3 linked regions of the Coturnix japonica genome follow. The protein of the gene in region 2 interacts with the protein of the main gene of each other region in a biochemical or structural test. Links are inferred from orthologs where the notes say so. Each region holds a gene or a part of one and is shown on either strand. Other genes may lie near its edges.

Region 1 (4,298 bases), on a different chromosome or scaffold from region 2:
GGTTCTGGGTATAGGGCCAAGTTTGGGGCTGCAGGAGTCTGCTGGGAAGGATGGATGGGAAGGGGGGTATGGACAACAGGAGGATGTGATAGGCATAAATAGAGCAGGGAGCAGGTAGGAATGGGGCCAGGAGTTCATGCAGGGCTGGGGTTAGAGGTAAGGTTAGGATGGGGGATGACAGAGGTCAAGCAGAGAGGGCCGAGGGTGGTCATAGTCTCATCCCACAGTGGTCCCTGTCCCACTCACCAGTGTTGATGACCTTCTGGATGGCCTTGGCCACCTGCCCCTTGAGCAGGGAGTTGAGGATTTTGACCAGGAGGATGAGGCAGGTGCAGAGCACGACGAGGGACCCAGCCAGCAGAACCAGCCCCACGGCCAGGTCCGGCAGCGGCGTGTCCGTGAAGAGGTGCTCGCCTGCCCCACAGCACGGCTGGGCGAGGGTCTGGGGCCTGCCCAGCCCTGCTCACAAACCTGTCCCCACCAAGCAGCCCCGCACAGCCCCACAGCATCACCCAGCCCTCCTTCAGCCCCATTCTCAGGGCTTCCAGACCCCCAGAACCCCCAGCCCTACAAGCACACCCTCCAGACCCACTCACACTTCTGCCTAGTGACGTTGTGAAGGATCCCATTACTGCTGCAATGTCCAGACGCTGTGCAGTTTGGAGGCACCCCTACCCCACCGGCAGCTGTCTGCAGGGAGCAGGCAGGCTGTGGGTGAGCCCATAGCATCCTCACCAGCCCCAGCCCACTGCCTTCCATGGGGAGCTTTTAGGGGGGGGCAGCCTGCCCCCCCCAGCACCATAGCAAGGCCACAAGCCCCTCACCTGGGTTGGTGCAGGGCCACACCATGTGCGGATGAGGCTGCGGTTGCGCAGGCTCTCGTCCCCTGTTGCGATGCCTGTGATCACCGACTTGTCCAGCTGCAACAACACATTGGAGGGGATGGCACTGGGGGGCTGGCAGCATCCTCAGGCTGGAGACATCTACACTGTGATGGGGACTTTGCTGCCGGCCTTTGGCAGAACTGCCATATCAGGGACATTGGCGCTAGGGACATTATTGCTAGCATGGGGACACCAACGCTGGAGGACCACCCCTGGCAACAACGCAGCCAACCCAAGCAGACCTGGATGATAAGCTTGGTGAAGGGCTCCGTGATGATTTTCAGCAGGTCAGGGGCATCCTTCCCACTGCGGATGTTGAAGGTGGCCACCACCAGGCGGGTGACGTGGTGCAGGTACCCGCTCACCACCTCCAGCGGCAGCAGGACCAGCACCGACAGCCAGTTGAAACAGTCGTGCACCGTAGCACCAGCAAAAGCTCTACATGGTGGAGTCTGAGTGTCAGCGTGGGGCAGCCCTCAGCCCCTCCAAGTCCCTTTGTCCCCATCAGTGCTCACCTTTTGAACTCACTGCGATCTCCAGCCTGCATGAGGGCCACGATGGTGTTGGTGACTGAGGTGCCAATGTTGGAGCCCATGATGATGGGTATGGCAGAGCGCACCTCCAGCACTGGTGGCAGAGAGACCTGCTAGCCCCACATCCTCCTCAGCCATCCTGCCCCCAGCCCCAGGGAGCCCCACGGGTGCACTCACGCCCCGAGGAGACCATGCTGACAATAATGGAGGTGGAGGTGGAGGAGCTCTGCACCAACACAGTCACCAGGATGCCCACCACCAGCCCGGCTACGGGGTTGGAGAGGATGGCGTTGTCCTTGAAGATGTCCCCTGCCACTTTGCCTGCGAGAGAGCATGAGGACAGGGCACTGGAGCCGGGGTGCTGCTGGCTGCCCTCTGCCCACGGCCGTACCTCCGGCCAGCTGGAAAGCAGAGCTGAGCACGTCCAGGGAGCAGACGAAGAGGTACAGGAAGCCAAACATCAGAGGCACCTTGAGAAGGGAGACACAGATGGACTGGACCCTCACCCAGCAGCCCAGCTCTGCGCAAGACAAGAGAGAGTGTTACACGCTGGGCACAAGTCTGCATGCCCAGCCGTGTCTGTGGGTCCCCTACATCTCCTTCTGCTCTGCCTGCAGCACCACAGGGCACTGAGCATCTTCCACTCCCGCTGCACCAGCTGGGTGCAGTGCTTGAGGACCTCACCTGGCTTCTGCAGCTCCTCCAAGCCCAGGCGGGGCCCCTGCCATGGCAGTGCATCCAGCTCGTAGCGCTCCCGGCTCTCCACCAGCCGCCCCGGGGAGCCAGGGCACAGGAAGCCATGGTCAGGGCAGGTCACTGCTCCCACGGCGAAGGGGCAGGCGTGGGCACCCGGCAGCCTGTGCAGAGCTGGGTACGGGCATATCAAACACGCATTATGGCCCTGTCCTCTCAAGGTGCTGGGCATGGAGCCCACCTGCTGTGGGGAAGCAGGGCTGAGCTCTGCATGGAAAGGAGGTGGTGAGGAGGAGGGCTGGGAGACCTACCTTGAGGGCTGGGGCAGTAGGCAAACGGGGTCCCATGCACCACCCTTCCTCCCCGCACTGGGCAGCGGGGCATGGCCGGGCTCTCCCTCCGGTATGGCAGCATCACTCCAGCTGAGTCTGAGCAGAGGCAGCCACACGTCACTGTGGTGGGGCCACATCTGCACTGCTCCAACCACTGCCACCCCAAAACCACGCAGTGGTGCAGTGAGCACCGTCCTAGTGATCCCCTTGTCCATCCAGGAGACTGTCCTGCCCTGGGTGCTGCTCACCTGGTGCTGGCCAAGCACTCAGAGCAACGCCGCGTCCTCATGCCAAATCCATGCTTTCCTCCAGCAAAGTGGCTCACGGGGCACCAGGGCCCTTTATATGCACGTCAAGAGCAAAGTCTAAGGAGCCCGGCATTGCCCCTCGCCTCCGCTCACTGCTCACCTCCTCCCCAGAAATTCCTGCAGTTAATGGGTAACCCCACAGCATCCCATGTCAGCCGCAGTCCTGGGGGTGGCATGGGGCACACACTGCAGGGGATGGTGCCTTGCACGCCCCGTGCACCCCACCTGGCCTGCCCAAGGCCCCGTGTCACCACTTCTAAGGCGGCCTCACACCGTGCACTTCATCCCCTGCAGGAGAGGAGGAGGAGGTCCCACTACCAGTGTGTGTGGCCTCACATCCCCATGCACACAGCTCTGCTGGCCTGGCCCAAGGGTGGTGGCAGTGGTTGCATCAGCATTGCTGCAGGATGCTGCCAGCAGGACAGGCACAGCACGGTCCCTGTGTCATCGCTGATGGTGACATGTCGCCTGTGCCAGCGCACCACAGAGAATGCTTTATCTCAGCATGCACGATGCCAGGTCGAGTGGAAGGGGAGCAGTGCCAGTGTGCTTGTCAATGCACCTCAGTGCTGTTTATTATTACCCCTCGTTTACACACCTCCGCCAAGTTTCCATCTATCCACGTGGTGCCCGGCCAGCTCGTGCCTATGGCAGCTAAGGGCAGAGCTGGGGCCAAAGGCCCCTCCAGTGCTGCTGCAAGGGAGCGGGCACAGTGGGGCTGCATGGCCATGCTGCTTCTGTTCCTCTGGAGCTGGGTCCAGCTGGTGCCACATGGCTGCTGCCCAGAGTGCGTCAGGGCACCCCCTGTGCCCTGGACTGTGCCTACTGGGGCATGGAGCACTGCGTGACCTGTGCCTGGATCACCCTGGCAGCACGTGCTGCTCCCTTGGCGCAGTGGGGACCAGGGGACGTGTGTGGTGCTGGACAAGGGACCCTGGGCCAAGCAGGTCACCCAGCTGGGAAGTAGAGCTTCGTCTCCATTAGCCCATGGGTTCATGCCATGGCAGATCTGGAGGGGACAGCTACACCGTGCACCACTGCTAGCAGGACGTCATTGTTTGCAGAGTAACTTGGTATCTCCATAAGCACAAATAAGCCAGACACAATGGCTTGTATGGGCACAAGGATACCCAGGGGGCTGCTGGTGCTCAGGGACAGCCTGTGGGTAAGCCTGCAAAGGAACCCCGTGTCCTTTACTAGGCTGCACACTGCGGTGTGCCTTTCCTGAACAGCAGGGGCATGGATGTCCCTTGACCAGGGGCTGCAGTCAGGGCCCCCCATGCCCAGCAATGCCAGTGGGGGAGGCTGGTGGCCGCATGTGCCCTGTGCCCAGAGGATGTGGTGGCCGCTGCCTGGCTGTCCCCACAATCATTAACCCGCAGAGGCCCTGGTAGATGGGCTGTCACTCATTGACAGCCTTGGGGCTGAAGTCCTACCAGCCCCACAGTTTCCCCTGCATCACTAGCAGTACAGAGAAAACAGGCTACTGGTGCTGCCCCTTCCTGCAGGAGCAGGATGGACACTGGGCAGGGTTGTGGGGAACAGTTC
Region 2 (3,226 bases):
GCTAATTATGTTGTGCTTGAAACCTAATGGTTGAGATACAAGTTGCAATGAGCTACTGTGCTACTAATGTCTGGTTAAGTGGAAAGCTACAATGTTCATCCACGTTGTATTGCTCATAAAAGATTACACAACAATTTAATTCTGATGTTGCTGTCCTATTCCAGCTTTTCTTATGGCGTGTTCAAATTTAGAATGGTTCCAGCAGTGCTTCTGAAAACATGGGAGAGGCCAAAGATGTGGATCTTTAGTGACTTGGTACACAGTTGCTGAAATCTGGATGTCTTAGGCCTTTGCTGCAAGATGAACAAGTCTCTGTCAGAGCAGATTGATTCATTGCTGCTTCTGTTCCTTTTAATGATAATTTATGAGTCCTTACTAGTAGCTTGTGTTTACTTACCATTTTATACATGGCATCAGTCTCCTTATCCACTACCAACAGTGTGGTTTTTTCCTTAGACTGCTTAATCTTTCCCACTACACTTTCATGATCCAGTGCATCCACTCGCTCACCATTGACAGCTACCAAGATATCATCATCTTTGAGACCTGCCTTGGCTGCTGGGCTCTTGGGATCAACATCTTTGATTACATGATCTAAGATCAAAAGGGGAAAAAAAAAGATGGCTGTGAAGGACTGTTTGGTAAGTGTAATGGTATTTTGTGTGGTAAAAGCTATTGCTGAAATCATGCTTGAGGTTGAGACAGTTTCTTTAATACAGGCTTTTTAAGTAGCCAGACAAGGAGAATGAGGCCTGCAAACCGTACAGAAATAATGTATCGCAAATGTCATGGCCCGTGTGTTAGCTTGGTTCTTACCACCAGTGGTTTGTTCCATCCGTAGAAAAAAGCCATAACCATTTTTTCCTTTCTGAAGCTCAATAAGTCTTGGCTTATGAGGAAGGAGTTTTAGGTTGGCATTCTCTTTGCTCAGCACCATCTTCTGGCTTGTATAATAGCGGTCTGTTTCTTCATTTGAAAGTAGAAGCATAATGTGATTTCCAGACTTCTTTACCTGCATTAGTACACGTGCAGTCACAGATATGATCCCTTCAAAAACAACTGTAGCTACATCAGTAACTGGCTTACTAATACACTAGTAGTGGAATACTGCTGCTGCATCAGCTGGAAGGTCTGGGTGAGGCTACTATAGGGTTTTTTTCCTTTTTTCTTAGTAATTTGGACCATATCAAGATCTCAGACACGCAAAATCTTGCATGTGTATGAGGAAACATCCTGTATTTCATACTGTTTTCCAGGTCTCTGAATAACTAGCTGTAGAATTGACCTAACAGCCATAGGGTTGGCATGGAGTGGCAGTAAAATCCATTAAGCCTCAGTAGATAGTGCCTGACTCTCATCTAAACCTGAAACTCTATAGGACAGACATGTCATGCCATCCATATCACTATTTTGGCATCAACAAGCAGATAACTTTGCCCTAGTGTTACATTTCTGTCACACTCCTGTCCCGCTTCAGTGTCCTTGTATGACTGGCTCTGAAGAGTTTTGGTCTGTTCAACCTCTCCTTTTAATTCTATCTGTCTCAAACTGCTTTCTAGTTCAGTGGGTGCCCCCTTCACTCATTTGAATGAATGTGACTGTAGTTGATGGTTTGTAGCCCCAAAAAACACAGGTGTTGCACAGCTCCATAGTTAGTAGTGCACACTCAGTTGTGTTGCTAGAATGCCAGAGCATGACCAGCCCTCTGAAATCTCTTCAGCTCTATCTTTGTTTTAGCAGTGCCATCAGTGGAGAACTGGAAGTCTCATTAGCAATTTTCTTTGCAGCTGAGGCCTGGCAGCAAAATTATTTGTAGTGTAGTTTTCATTAATCTTGGGCTTCTTAGTAGAATAAAGGAACTGCTGTCTAAAATCATGCATTTACCCTGTTCCATGCTGCCTGCATCATCAGAGAGTTACTCCTCTTCCTGCCCTAAAAGCCACTTTTAATTATTTGCCCTCTTACTAATGGGAGAATTTCCAGGGTTTCTAAGAACAGAGCATGTTTTATTTAATACGGTTTCTGGCACTCGTGTAATTCTCATATTTAGAATTCTTTGGCCTGTTTTGACAGCAGCGTTCATTCAGAGTCAGTTCAAGAGGCTGTACAACAACAAAGCCAAAGCAGAGGGGTACTCTGCTGTGTTAGTAATGTATAAACAGAAGCTTCCAAGATTTGCTGTGAAGCATTTGAACTAGGCAGACCTGCCTCCTCAGTAAGCCTGACAAGTTGCTGTGAAAATGGGCCAGAACAGAAGATGAATCAGTATGGAAACAAATACCTTTTCCACCACCTCCTCATGTGTGTCGTTTTCCACGTTTTTTCCATTGATTTCAATCAGGCGATCTTTATTTTGGACACCCGCCTTTGCAGCTGCTCCTTGTGATGCCAGATCTACTATGAACAACCCCTTGTGACCTGAAATAGATTACAGCTCATTACATGGAGTAATTCATCGAAACATGCTTGCATTTGATGGCTAAGAAGATTCAGCTCTGATGTCCTTAGACGTCCTTAAGTCTCTGCTTATGTGTCTATTGTAGTGGCACTACCACTTCAGTGTCTCTTATTTCTCTTATTCTGCTCAGGAAATAGCACTTCTATAGGAAAGGGAGATGGGTTTTCTCTTTACTGCAACTCAAACAGTCTTATTTCTCTTCCAGGAGTGCCAAAGGGGCTGATGAAGATGGCTGAAAGGGACTTTTTTTTGGACATTTTAAGAGAGGAGCTGTTTTCAGTGCTGTTTTACACACTTCCTGTGTCTGAAAGACATTTGATCTTTGGTTATACTGCATTCTGAAGTATCCTGTTCGTAGTTGATGATTTCCTGAAGGTTTGCCTATTCTGATCTTGTTGTTTCTTACTTCCCCTCTGTTAGCAAGAGCATTTTGTGTACCCTCCCCTCCCCTGGCTGTCATATGCATACCATTTGTCCTCCCTAGGCTCTCACCTTCTGTGGTTTTTAGGGAGAAGCCATACCCCTTCTCCTCCTTTACTAAGTAGCAGAGTCGTGGTTGTGGAACGGCAGTGATTGCTCCATTAGCCATGGGCAGTGTGGACTGCTTCTCCTCCTTTTTCTCCTTCTTTCCTTTTGACACCTTTTGACCCAACTCTTCCAGATTCGCTCCCTCCTTTTCTGCCTTTTTATAAGATGCTTCATCCAGAACAAGAAATACAACAGAATTTCCACTGTTCTTCACAATCTCCACCACCTGTAATGGACAAG
Region 3 (4,034 bases), on a different chromosome or scaffold from region 2:
CTGTGCCCCCAGCTGAGGGAAAAATGTACCTCTGGGGGGCACAAAATCTGCAGAACAAAGTGTGGGGGGAAGGAATGGGAACAGCACCCCCAGCTCCTGGGGAACCCTCTGTTGTCTCATCGTTGTGTGAGGGTCGCACTGCGACAGCTCCAACCCACAGCGCATTCACCTCCAGGTAATTAGCACGAGGCCCCTAATCAATAAGTTATTTTTTGCCGTGGGTAATTAATAATTACACAGCGCAGGCAGGCTGTAATTAAACTTCCATCCCATCTCTCCCCAGTGGTGCTGAAGTCTTTGTTTTAGCAACTGCAGGTATTAAAAGTGTTTCATCCTGTGCTTGGGGAGCCCGCGTCCTGCCGGGAGGGTCTCAAGCCCTCCTCCCTCCATCTCTATTGATCCCATTTCCTTCAGTTGCTAGAATCAATAGCACTGGCACAAAGCACACTGCTGCTTCTGCTCCAGGCCTGGCTATGGGGCTGCCATCAGCTCTACCAACAATATGGGGGTGTCCCTGTTGGGAACCCACCACAGCAGGGTTGAGATAAAGGCCACAACAGGCACTGTACCCATGGGGCAGCTCCTCCACCCATGTCCACTTGGGTTGCAGCAATGACTGCTGTCAGCCCATGTGCAGCAGGAGGTGACCCTGCCCCAGTGTCCCTGAGCCAGCCATAGGGGACAGGCAGGCGATGCTCCCCACGCTGCTCCATCACTGCCTGCGCTCAGCCACGCCAGCTCCCAGCAATGTCACACCACCCGCCAGGACACGCAGCATGCTGCAGGATGCACAGCTCAGATCGTGCACCAGGAGAGCAGAGCAAAGCCCTTTCTCCTCTGCTCCAGAGCCCCACGGACAAACAGGAGTCGGGCACAGCAGGAGATCATCCCACAGCCGGGAACAAACGGACCATGGGGGGACTGTGAGCTGGAGCCGCCAGGCAGGAGGAGAGAAACTCGGCAAGGGAGTGAATCAATCAAAGAGACCTTCACAGCTCCCCACACAGGGCCTGCCCGGATAATATACTGCCGCTTTAGATGTTATGTTCTGAACTTAATTACTGAGAAATTATAGCAGAACTAAGGGAGGCTCAGGGGGAGCAGGAGGACAGGAGTGCATGGGGACTTGTGGCTCCACTCGCTGCCGCAAACAAGGGCAAGAAATGTCGTGGGTTGAGGAGCCCCAGGCACAGCACTGCACCCCTCTGTGCCCCCCATTTTGCAGCCTGGATGTGCTCCGTCCGAGCAGCAGGGATGGAGGAGATTGTGCTGCAGCCCTGCTATAGACAGCACCTCCTTCACAGCCCTGCAGGGATGCTTGTCTGCTGGGAAGGGGACAGCAGCCCAAGGAGGGCTCCCCCTGCGAATCTCTGCACCCCAAAGGGGCAGGAACTATTCCTGCCTCTCTCCAAGCAGCCAAACGCACACTGTGCTGTGCCAGAGCCCCGGAGGTGATGAGCAGACAGGCACTCACACTGCCCAGCACATGAAGCCTCAGAGCACCCACAGGGACTCAGGGCTGCAGACCCCCACCCCGTCCCCACCCGCTGGAGGTCAGTGGGACCAGAATCACTGCAAGAGCCGCTCCCAGAACTCGTGCCGCGCACAAGTGGGGTCCCCAGGGAGGGGGGTGAAATCTGTGCCCTCACCTTCGAGTGTGTCCGGTCCTCGGGAAAGGGCTGACGCATTTCTACCCCGCACTCAAAGCAACGTTTTGCCTCCCATCCCCAGCACGGAGACTGTTACAGGGCAGGAGAAGCAGGAGGCAGCGCAGAGCTGAGTCCCCCCCAGGCACCGCGCTACGCTCTGCGCCGTTCGGCCCCGGGCACCTGGGGGTCTCCTTAAACACCTCCACTCCCTCCCCGAACTCTGGGGCTGCGACCCAAACTTCTCCATCCCGAATAAGGTGAGAGCCCCCAGAGTCCTCCAGCTCCCGGGGTTCGTCTGTCGGGGACGGCACAGGGAATGCCCCCCACCCGCTCGTGGTTCACCGCCAGCATCGAAGCAGGAGCTGGAGGCTGAAGAAGCCGCTCCCCGCACCAGGTCCCCCTCATACCCACTTACCTTGGGCGCCGGCTCCCGGGGGGCCGGCCAGGGCGAGCATCACGGCGCACAGCAGCCCCCAACTCCCGGGCCGGGCCATGACTCCGCCGACACGGGGGCAACTTCCCTGACTTTATAATCCGAGCGGCAGCGGCTCCAGCGCTCTCTGCTCTCCGGTCCCCCGGCGCAGGGACCTCCGCGGCAGCGCTGCTCGGAGGGAGGCGGATGCGATGCGCAGAGCTCCCGATGGGGTCGGGGGGAACCGCAGACAGCTCTCCGCCGTGTCCAACTCCCCCAGAGACGTGCAGAGCAGGGACCCCTGACGATTCAGCTCGGGGCCGGCAGCCGAACCCCTCCCCACGAGCTGCCCTCCGCCTCAGGGAAGGGGAAAGGAAGCGCAGCGTTGTCCGCCCCCGGCCCCTCCTGCCCGCCTGGGCACCATGGGGAGCCGCAGAAAAAAAGTTTGGGGTCCGGGGGCGGGGAGGCGGCCCCTCCCCGGAGCTCAGCTTCTGCCTGGGGACATCCTCCCCCCGGCGGCTCCGGGAGACGGGGTGGGATGAGAGGGGGGAGCAAAAGGAGAAAGTGCGGCTGTGACGCGCAGCGGCGCGGGGTCCCGCTCGGAGCCGCGTGCGGTGCGTCCCCACTCGGCGCTCCGACCGGCTGCCTCCCTCCTCCTCCTCCTCCTCCTCCCTGCTCCTCCTGAGCTGCGGCGGCGGAGCTCGGCGGAGCCGGGGGCAGCCCGAGCCGGGGAGGCGGGGAGTCGGCGCGGCTCCGAGCGCTACCCAGCGGCCGCGGACGGGGGCGCACGGAGATGCGGGGGGAGAGGGCGCGGCGGGCACGTCCCCTCGGCCGCCCACGATTCCTACGGAGCGGGTTGGACCACCACCCTCCCCCCCCCGACCCCAGACACCGCAGCCCCCCCCGGGGGAGGGGCGGAGGGCAGCGGCTGCCCTCTGTGCAGCTTTGGATCACCACGCGACCCCCTCCTCACCGTCCCCAGCCGCACTGATGGCACTCAGCGTCTGCACCTCATCTTAGAGAGGGGACGCAGCAAGTCTATAGAGAAGCTCACAGGCAGAACTCGCTGCCACCAGGTTATCACTGCAAACGGTGCGAGGTTCTGGAAAAACAAGATCTCCAGCCAAAGAGATGAGCCAGCAGTGCCTCCCAAATCGCGTATCACCTCCTCAGGCCCAATCCTGCAATTTATCAAGCCCAGATCCCCCAGCAGGATCAGACCACGATCACACATCCTTCAGAGTCAGCGCAGTGCCTTGCATTTGCTGGAGGAGAGCAGCTCTGACACCAACAGACCTAAACTGTCCAGCCAGAGGGAACACCTGGATGCTGAATCAGACCCACGAGCACACACAACACCTTTGAGCCAAGAGGCCTGCAAGGATCAGGGCAAAAGCATGAGCAGATTAGCCTAAAGCCCAGCACCAAAGGGTCAAACCAGGGCAGGGAATTGAGGGAGCGTTCTCACGCAAACATCAATACAGTGATGTTAGTTCCTGGGCACCAGGAGTATATTTCCCCCCCCGTGCAATATATGCTCACGTGTAAATCACACACGGTGCTCAGAGGGCCAATGCCTGTGCTCACGTTGCAGATTTGGAGAGCTACTGCCAAATTTCCCATCGACCTCTTGAGGAGATGCTGAACAATAAGCCAGCACTTGCCCACCCCAGCATTAATCAGCTCCGTGGCTGGCATTCTCAACCAAGCCAGTGGGGATCGATGTGCTGTGGGAGGCTGTGAGCCCAGCTCACCTCTCAGGGTGGTGTTCCCTGACAACATGGGCTGCAGTGAGCAGAGAGGAAGCCCCCCATGGTGGGCTCAGACCCCAATCCCACGGCACTCATGTGTTGCAATGGGGAACAGCCACAAAGTGCTCAGCACTCTCCCAACCCCCTGCGGGATCAGGGCTTTGTTCCATGCAGAACAGGAATTCCTGTCTCCAGGGCCATAAATTCAGCACCTGCCCCTGC

What was found. The genes of interacting proteins can lie anywhere in the genome.
Region 1: the proteins of PDZK1 (region 2) and SLC34A1 form a complex in vitro, tested with the Homo sapiens proteins (2 studies listed by BioGRID and IntAct, with this or other methods). The link is inferred for Coturnix japonica from reciprocal best matches to the Homo sapiens genes PDZK1 and SLC34A1.
Region 3: the proteins of PDZK1 (region 2) and SDK2 interact in a test that uses a peptide from one of them, tested with the Homo sapiens proteins (2 studies listed by IntAct, with this or other methods). The link is inferred for Coturnix japonica from reciprocal best matches to the Homo sapiens genes PDZK1 and SDK2.

The regions. Positions count from the first base shown.
Region 1 is NC_029528.1:11,928,456-11,932,753, reverse strand, and holds the start of SLC34A1 (sodium-dependent phosphate transport protein 2A), read right to left. Parts: upstream 2,801-4,298; 5' UTR 2,691-2,800; intron 2,539-2,690; 5' UTR 2,525-2,538; coding exon 2,422-2,524; intron 2,285-2,421; coding exon 2,102-2,284; intron 1,938-2,101; coding exon 1,809-1,937; intron 1,739-1,808; coding exon 1,595-1,738; intron 1,512-1,594; coding exon 1,400-1,511; intron 1,323-1,399; coding exon 1,127-1,322; intron 921-1,126; coding exon 825-920; intron 691-824; coding exon 597-690; intron 415-596; coding exon 247-414; intron 1-246.
Region 2 is NC_029516.1:83,003,511-83,006,736, forward strand, and holds part of PDZK1 (Na(+)/H(+) exchange regulatory cofactor NHE-RF3), read right to left. Parts: intron 3,213-3,226; coding exon 2,951-3,212; intron 2,419-2,950; coding exon 2,282-2,418; intron 1,013-2,281; coding exon 817-1,012; intron 595-816; coding exon 398-594; intron 1-397. UniProt on the Homo sapiens protein: A scaffold protein that connects plasma membrane proteins and regulatory components, regulating their surface expression in epithelial cells apical domains.
Region 3 is NC_029533.1:5,293,386-5,297,419, reverse strand, and holds the start of SDK2 (protein sidekick-2), read right to left. Parts: upstream 2,801-4,034; 5' UTR 2,144-2,800; coding exon 2,065-2,143; intron 1-2,064.